2 linked regions of the Xenopus tropicalis genome follow. The protein of the gene in region 2 interacts with the protein of the main gene of each other region in a biochemical or structural test. Links are inferred from orthologs where the notes say so. Each region holds a gene or a part of one and is shown on either strand. Other genes may lie near its edges.

Region 1 (3,928 bases), on a different chromosome or scaffold from region 2:
AGTCCTGGACTGAGTGGGACTTTTCCCTTTACAAATAAAAAAACATGTCTCCATCCAATCAATTCTTTTCAATCAAGGGGATTATCCTGATAGGGGAATTTATTCTCCATTTGATTAATACACAGGGATGAGGCCGGAGTGGATTAGGGCAATATTAACTGTAATCGCCGCCAGTTCCGACTACTGGGGAATTGTACTAAATGCACTGGAACGTAGGGAAATATCCCACAGGCTGCGCCGAGGCACGGACTGACCCCGAGAGCTGCAGATAAAGCAGATGTTATGGGGGGTGGGGGAGCAGCTTAGCCGGGGACACGTCTGATTGGGGATTCTATCTATTCCATTGCTGTTATGGGAGCTTTAAATGAGAACATGTTTATCACTTGGGTGGGATAAGGGGGTCCGCTCCTCCCACCTGTAGTATAGGAAGAACTAATAAGTATAATTCACAGATAGCAGGGCAGGCAGTAACCCTTCCAACACTTTCCCCTGTCTCTGCCCCTATATATTAGGTACCTACCTAGTGCTACCAACCCCTATTTCTGTAGGGAAATGAGAGCAGGGCAGGCAGTAACCCTTCCAACACTTTCCCCTGTCTCTGCCCCTATATATTAGGTACCTACCTAGTGCTACCAACCCCTATTTCTGTAGGGGAATGAGAGCAGAGCAGGCAGTAACCCTTCCAACACTTTCCCCTGTCTCTGCCCCTATATATTAGGTACCTACCTAGTGCTACCAACCCCTATTTCTGTAGGGGAATGAGAGCAGAGCAGGCAGTAACCCTTCCAACACTTTCCCCTTCCCTACATTCCTGCTGCATTATAGTGGCCCCTAGCAGTGCTCTTGCGCTCAGTCGGAGCGTTTGATTTCCTGTCGCTCGGCATTACACGGTTTCCTAATACCCACTGCCTGAGGCCGCAGGGGATAGAGATAATCAATGCGCTGCCTTCGCGTATCGCGGGCTAGAACGCCGCCAGGAGAGGGCAGGCAGAGGTTTTTTGACAGAAGAGTTTACGTTCCTCCACGTGCCGTAAGGAATATCGATTCTATGTACAGTAGAACCCCCATTTTACGTCCCTGAATGCGTTTTTCACTGATTTAAGTTTTTGGGAATTTACGGAATTTTGACGCGACCCCTGAAAAACGTCTGGGTAAATGCACAGCAATGAGAGCAGAATAAATGCTGGGGATGCTGGGAAATGTAGTCCTAATATCACCATTTAGTGTATTGTAGTAGCATTAACTGTATATAACATGCACTCATTAATCTCATACATATATCTTTTTTCAATGGGGGTATCCAGATTCCCCCAGTAATTGCTGAACTCCCGCTGTACTATTCCAATGCCTGGGAGTTGTAGTTCAGCCGTGCAGCCTATCCTATATGCCCTTAATGCTGTATTACAGGTTTAGCTATGCTGCCTTCCCATAAGGTCAGGGTGGGGGAAGTACAATTATCAGTATTGGATGTACAGCAGTGCAACTTTCCCTTTAAAAGGGGTAGATGTGGGGTTAGTTACCCCCTTCCCCATGTAATGGGAATCGAACCGTTGCCACCGGGCGGAGATGGCACAGTGAAGGGAAGGGTGGATATCCTTACTATGTTTTACTGGCCCAGGGAGCTGGGGGTTAAATGCAGCACTAACCCTTTGAATGCCAGGGGCTGAGCCAATAATCTGGGGGTTTAACATTATCCGGCACACCCCTCCGGCACTGTTTCAGCTACTGGCTTACTGGGGTGGGGGCTGCTACTTCCGCAAGGGTTTGGGAACTAATTAGCCATTGGGGGGGGGGGGGTTAAAGTCATTCACAAGTCAGGGGAAAAGCAGCTGAAGTTCTGAAGATCCAAATCCCACCCAGAACCGCTGGCCGATTCCGGCACGGTGCCTGCTGGATGCCGGCTGTGCTGCCCCGCTGAATGGGCAGATCCAATGGGGAGCTACGGGCAGGAATGTGGATGGGTGTGGGCATGGACCCCAGCTGCATACTCTAAGGATCTGTCCAACAAAGTCTTTTCCATCAATCCAGCAAGCAGGGATGGGGAGAGTGGGGCTCCTGAGTCTGGGGCCCCTGAGTAAGGGAGGGGCAGTGAGTGGAATACAGCTGTTGGTGGGGCCCCCCCAGATGCCCTTTCTGCCCTACCCTAAACTATCCCTGCACAAACTTCAGCTGCCGGAATCCCATCCCGGGATAAGTAGTGACAGCCATGCAACTGGTCTATTTGTAAGGACTTCCAGCTGTTGGGCACAGCAACTACTCCCTGCAGCCACTCCCTTCCTGTGAGTCCCACATCCTATCCACCCCCCCCCCCACCCCAAAAACACAATCACACCCATCATGTCTTACCGTATCCTTCAGCTCAAGCCTTAGACTCTGGTCCTGGGTACCCCAGATGGATGGCAAAGCTCCTGTGGCCCCCCTAGAGCCCCTTCTGTGCCACTGTCTCCACTCAGTGCCCAGGGATGGGGTGCCTTGCGCCCGACTGCCACTTAGTCCCTGTGTGGATGTGACTCAGCTGACAGCCAGGCTCCGCTTCCCTCTATGAGCAGAGAATTTCCCTTCCCCTTCACAGACCCAACTGATTCCAATGCTTTCTCACTCCACCCTTTGTACTGAGTGATGTCAGAGAGAGAGTGTGTGCGAGTGTGCGAGAGAGTGTGTGAGTGTGCGAGAGCGCCCCTGAGCTCTGTATTATTCAGCACACGGAGAGAATGAATAGCAGCATCTACACAGAGGAAGTGTGTAATTTGGAGGGGGGGGGGTGTTTGCTTGGTTTGTCCGGCGTAAATAAATTGATGGAATGCTGCATGAGTCGGAACTTTCACTGTAGGGAATATTCTACTGCCAGCTGCTGGGTTACTGGGTGCCATCTGGCCATCTCCAGCCTATACACGGTGTGCTACTGGCATGTAAGTGCTCAGGGGCCGGCACCTACTACTATCCAACAGATTCACATACTGATTATACATTATCCCTGCCCCAGTGAGCTTACAATCTAAGGTCCCTATCACATTCCCATCAGTCCCTGCCCCAGTGAGCTTACAATCTAAGGTCCCTATCACATTCCCATCAGTCCCTGCCCCAGTGAGCTTACAATCTAAGGTCCCTATCCCAGTGAGCTTACAATCTAAGGTCCCTATCACATTCCCATCAGTCCCTGCCCCAGTGAGCTTACAATCTAAGGTCCCTATCACATTCCCATCAGTCCCTGCCCCAGTGAGCTTACAATCTAAGGTCCCTATCCCAGTGAGCTTACAATCTAAGGTCCCTATCACATTCCCATCAGTCCCTGCCCCAGTGAGCTTACAATCTAAGGTCCCTATCACATTCCCATCAGTCCCTGCCCCAGTGAGCTTACAATCTAAGGTCCCTATCCCATTCCCATCAGTCCCTGCCCCAGTGAGCTTACAATCTAAGGTCCCTATCACATTCCCATCAGCCCCTGCCCCAGTGAGCTTACAATCTAAGGTCCCTATCACATTCCCATCAGTCCCTGCCCCAGTGAACTTACAATCTAAGGTCCCTATCACATTCCCATCAGTCCCTGCCCCAGTGAGCTTACAATGTAAGGTCCCTATCCCATTCCCATCAGTCCCTGCCCCAGTGAGCTTACAATCTAAGGTCCCTATCACATTCCCTTCAGTCCCTGCCCCAGTGAGCTTACAATCTAAGGTCCCTATCACATTCCCATCAGTCCCTGCCCCAGTGAGCTTACAATCTAAGGTCCCTATCCCAGTGAGCTTACAATCTAAGGTCCCTATCACATTCCCATCAGTCCCTGCCCCAGTGAGCTTACAATCTAAGGTCCCTATCCCATTCCCATCAGTCCCTGCCCCAGTGAGCTTACAATCTAAGGTCCCTATCACATTCCCATCAGCCCCTGCCCCAGTGAGCTTACAATCTAAGGTCCCTATCCCATTCCCATCAG
Region 2 (3,053 bases):
ATGCTTGAACTTATTGCAGTTTGAAAGCTATTACGGCGGTCATCCCACAGTAACAGTTCTTGTTGCTCATCTAGGTTGTGATACATTCATGAGAAATTCCACAGTTGTATTTTACAGAGAAGTCCACACAATCATTCCATGGCTATATCTTATTCTGTATTAAGACAAGGCAAAGATGATCTAAAAAGAAGAATAAAAAACACAAAATGTGGGGAAGGGTAGATTGGCAAGACGTTGAATCTATCCAGCAATGCCAGAAGCAACGGCAGAAGGCTGAGTGGCATGTTTTATCCATCGCTTTAAAGAACAAAGAGCTGAAAGTATGCAAGTGCTCAAATAAAAAGTGAACCTAGAACCCGTTATTTTGGAGGACTACGAATACTTATATAAAAATAATGCTGTTCACCGTTGAGATATTTTTGTGTTTTGTATCATTTTCAGTGTATTCTTCAGTTTGAGAGGTGAAGAGTCTATTGGATTCACCCAAGGACAGTTCCATTGTACAGATGACAAAGTCCTGGCATGGTTGGATGGGTTTTTCCATCACTTAACTACTGAGAACAGACAGAAGCAGCAGCATTGATTATGAGAGCCGGCAGAGACAGTGAGCATTTGCTTGCCGGAGTGTCTTTAGGATATGTGCTATCACTGTTGGCTTTAATATTTTTTTTGTGCTGTGAATCTTCAGCTCCAGGCTGCTCTTACAGATGACTTGACTTTCACAGGGCAGTGGAGGTGATCTTCTTTATACCTCTCCTCTGAGCCAGAGTTGAACGACCAACGGGTTCCAGAACGGGAGACAATGGATTAAGGTTCAAAGCAGAGTAAGTTGCTGCCATGGCTCCCTGCATTAAACAACACAAAGGTGTGAGGGCAAGTTAAGAAATGTAATTTTTGCACACTGCCTTCCTAGATTAAACAAATTCCGAATGCCCCTGTGCTCCAAAACTGTTCGGCATTACTGTATTCATAAGGGGCTGGGGCAGTGCAGCTTCTGTGCTCTTTCACTTCTTCCCTGGTCCCTGTAATTTACCCTGAAAACATTTACTATTTTGCTGTACTTTTTATTCCAAAAGGGGTAGCCATTTATTTTAGTGTTGGCATAATACAGAATGTAATGCTTTATAAATACACAATTCTGTATCCCCAAAATGTTGAAATGCGGCGAAATAAAAATTACATTCTGCTAAATACTATTTTATGATTTTCTTTATATGGTTCATATTGCCAGATACTGTCCATGTGTATATAATGGATTCATTCTATGCACTTGGACAGCTGCCCTGGGATTAATAGAAAGTATCCACAAGCAAGTTCAAGTTTTGCAAGTGCAAAGTTAAAATAGCAGTATTCATTAATGATATAAACAAATATATTATGCCAATATATTAGGCACCCCTCCCAGTGATTAGAATCTCCTGCCTAAAACCCCAGGCCAGTGCCCTGGTTTGCTAAAAACGGAACTGGCCCTTGGTACTTCTATAAAAGCTCATCACTGCCATTTTCTTCCGCTTCTTAGAAACTAAGGTTTGGCACCCCACCTTTCCTTAGGCTGGTCTAGAAGAATAAATACACTACATTACCTTTACTAGGTGTGGAGCATCTTGTCTGTTTAGCTGAAACTGAGGCAGCTGGTCACAGTGTACTATCCAGGGGTGCTTGAGTACTTGGGCTGCAGTTAACCTTTGATGTGGATCCACATGAAGCATCTTTGAAACTAGGTCCTATGGTAGTGCATAAAAATATATTTAGCAGCCTTTCTAAACAGTTATTAAACAAAATGAGCATCTTTAGAATTGATCATGAGATAGGATATGAAGCTCGCTTTATATGAAGCCACTGCCCTCTCAGGGAACCCAGAGTGGACAAAACACCAACACAACACAACAGAGCTTGGCACAATATACTGATCTGTAAATAGTGTAAAAACACTAAAATGCAGCTGTCCCTATTATACCTATTTATCAGGACTATCCCACTATAAAGCAGAAATAATTCTGTCTCCTCATACTATTAATATTATTTGAGTGAATGGCACTTCAAATGCAATTACCCCACTTTAAAAGATGGAAGCCAGTATCCAAACAGCACCAGAAGTCACTGCGCACCAGCCAAATAAGCACCTTATTGTTATGAGTGGCAACAATCTTAATGCTGACTCAGTGGGACAAAGCAAGTCTGGGAGATTGCTGTATAATGATGCAACAAACTGCAGAAAAGCAGCAGATAAGGAATACTGAGTAACTGATCTGCACACAAACTGACCTTGGCAATATCTGAAACAGAATTCCAATAGCCACCACTTAGAGAGAACTTTCCACTTCCTATTCTTGCTAGGATTTCTTCTGGTGTATCATCTGGCCCATTTGCAAAAGGAGTGTATCTGAAATATGAGAAAAATATACAGTATTACAAATAGCAGTAACCACACATTATATTTTATTTTTAATGGGTTCAAGAGCAGGTAACTGAACTGGGCAGAGCCTGCACTCATTGATCAGTATAACCTAGTGTTAAGTCTATTATGTATATTTCTGTATATGCCCCTGATGAAAGGTTTAAGCATCATGTTAACTTACCCTGTCAGCATAGTATAAAGTAGTACACCCAGACTCCATATGTCGCATGCTGCATCATAGCCTTGGCGCTTTAATACCTGAAAAAATTAGAGAAGAATATAAAATTAAGCCTAAGTATTTTAAAGTATTTATTCACAGTTCAACAATCAAATTTCATGGATGAGGTATGTAGCATTGGCTACAAGAAGCTATTAGTGCTTGTAAATGACTTGTCCTGTTTATGGCATGCTCATGGTATGTTTAGTGACAGAATTTCTGATAAATGTGAAAGAAGTATTTCACATCACTTTGTGCCTGGAAGGATTTCTGTTTAATGCAGGCAAGATGCTTGACAGTGAGAATATCGTGTACATTTTCCACCCTGTTGTCAAATACAGACTTTACTGACAAAATGGTTACAGTTTACGCCTTTTTTCTTAATGTCTGGGTGGCATATGTTAATAGGGGATACTACAGAGGAACTTTTTACTAGTC

Evidence for each region.
Region 1: the proteins of rps6ka3 (region 2) and pea15 form a complex in vitro, tested with the Homo sapiens proteins (2 studies listed by BioGRID). The link is inferred for Xenopus tropicalis from reciprocal best matches to the Homo sapiens genes RPS6KA3 and PEA15.

Annotation. Positions count from the first base shown.
Region 1 is NC_030684.2:138,138,518-138,142,445, reverse strand, and holds the start of pea15 (astrocytic phosphoprotein PEA-15), read right to left. Parts: upstream 2,565-3,928; 5' UTR 2,347-2,564; intron 1-2,346. UniProt on the Homo sapiens protein: Blocks Ras-mediated inhibition of integrin activation and modulates the ERK MAP kinase cascade. Inhibits RPS6KA3 activities by retaining it in the cytoplasm. Inhibits both TNFRSF6- and TNFRSF1A-mediated CASP8 activity and apoptosis.
Region 2 is NC_030678.2:43,794,585-43,797,637, forward strand, and holds part of rps6ka3 (ribosomal protein S6 kinase alpha-3), read right to left. Parts: intron 2,657-3,053; coding exon 2,580-2,656; intron 2,384-2,579; coding exon 2,266-2,383; intron 1,725-2,265; coding exon 1,584-1,724; intron 846-1,583; coding exon 720-845; 3' UTR 1-719. UniProt on the Homo sapiens protein: Serine/threonine-protein kinase that acts downstream of ERK (MAPK1/ERK2 and MAPK3/ERK1) signaling and mediates mitogenic and stress-induced activation of the transcription factors CREB1, ETV1/ER81 and NR4A1/NUR77, regulates translation through RPS6 and EIF4B phosphorylation, and mediates cellular proliferation, survival, and differentiation by modulating mTOR signaling and repressing pro-apoptotic function of BAD and DAPK1.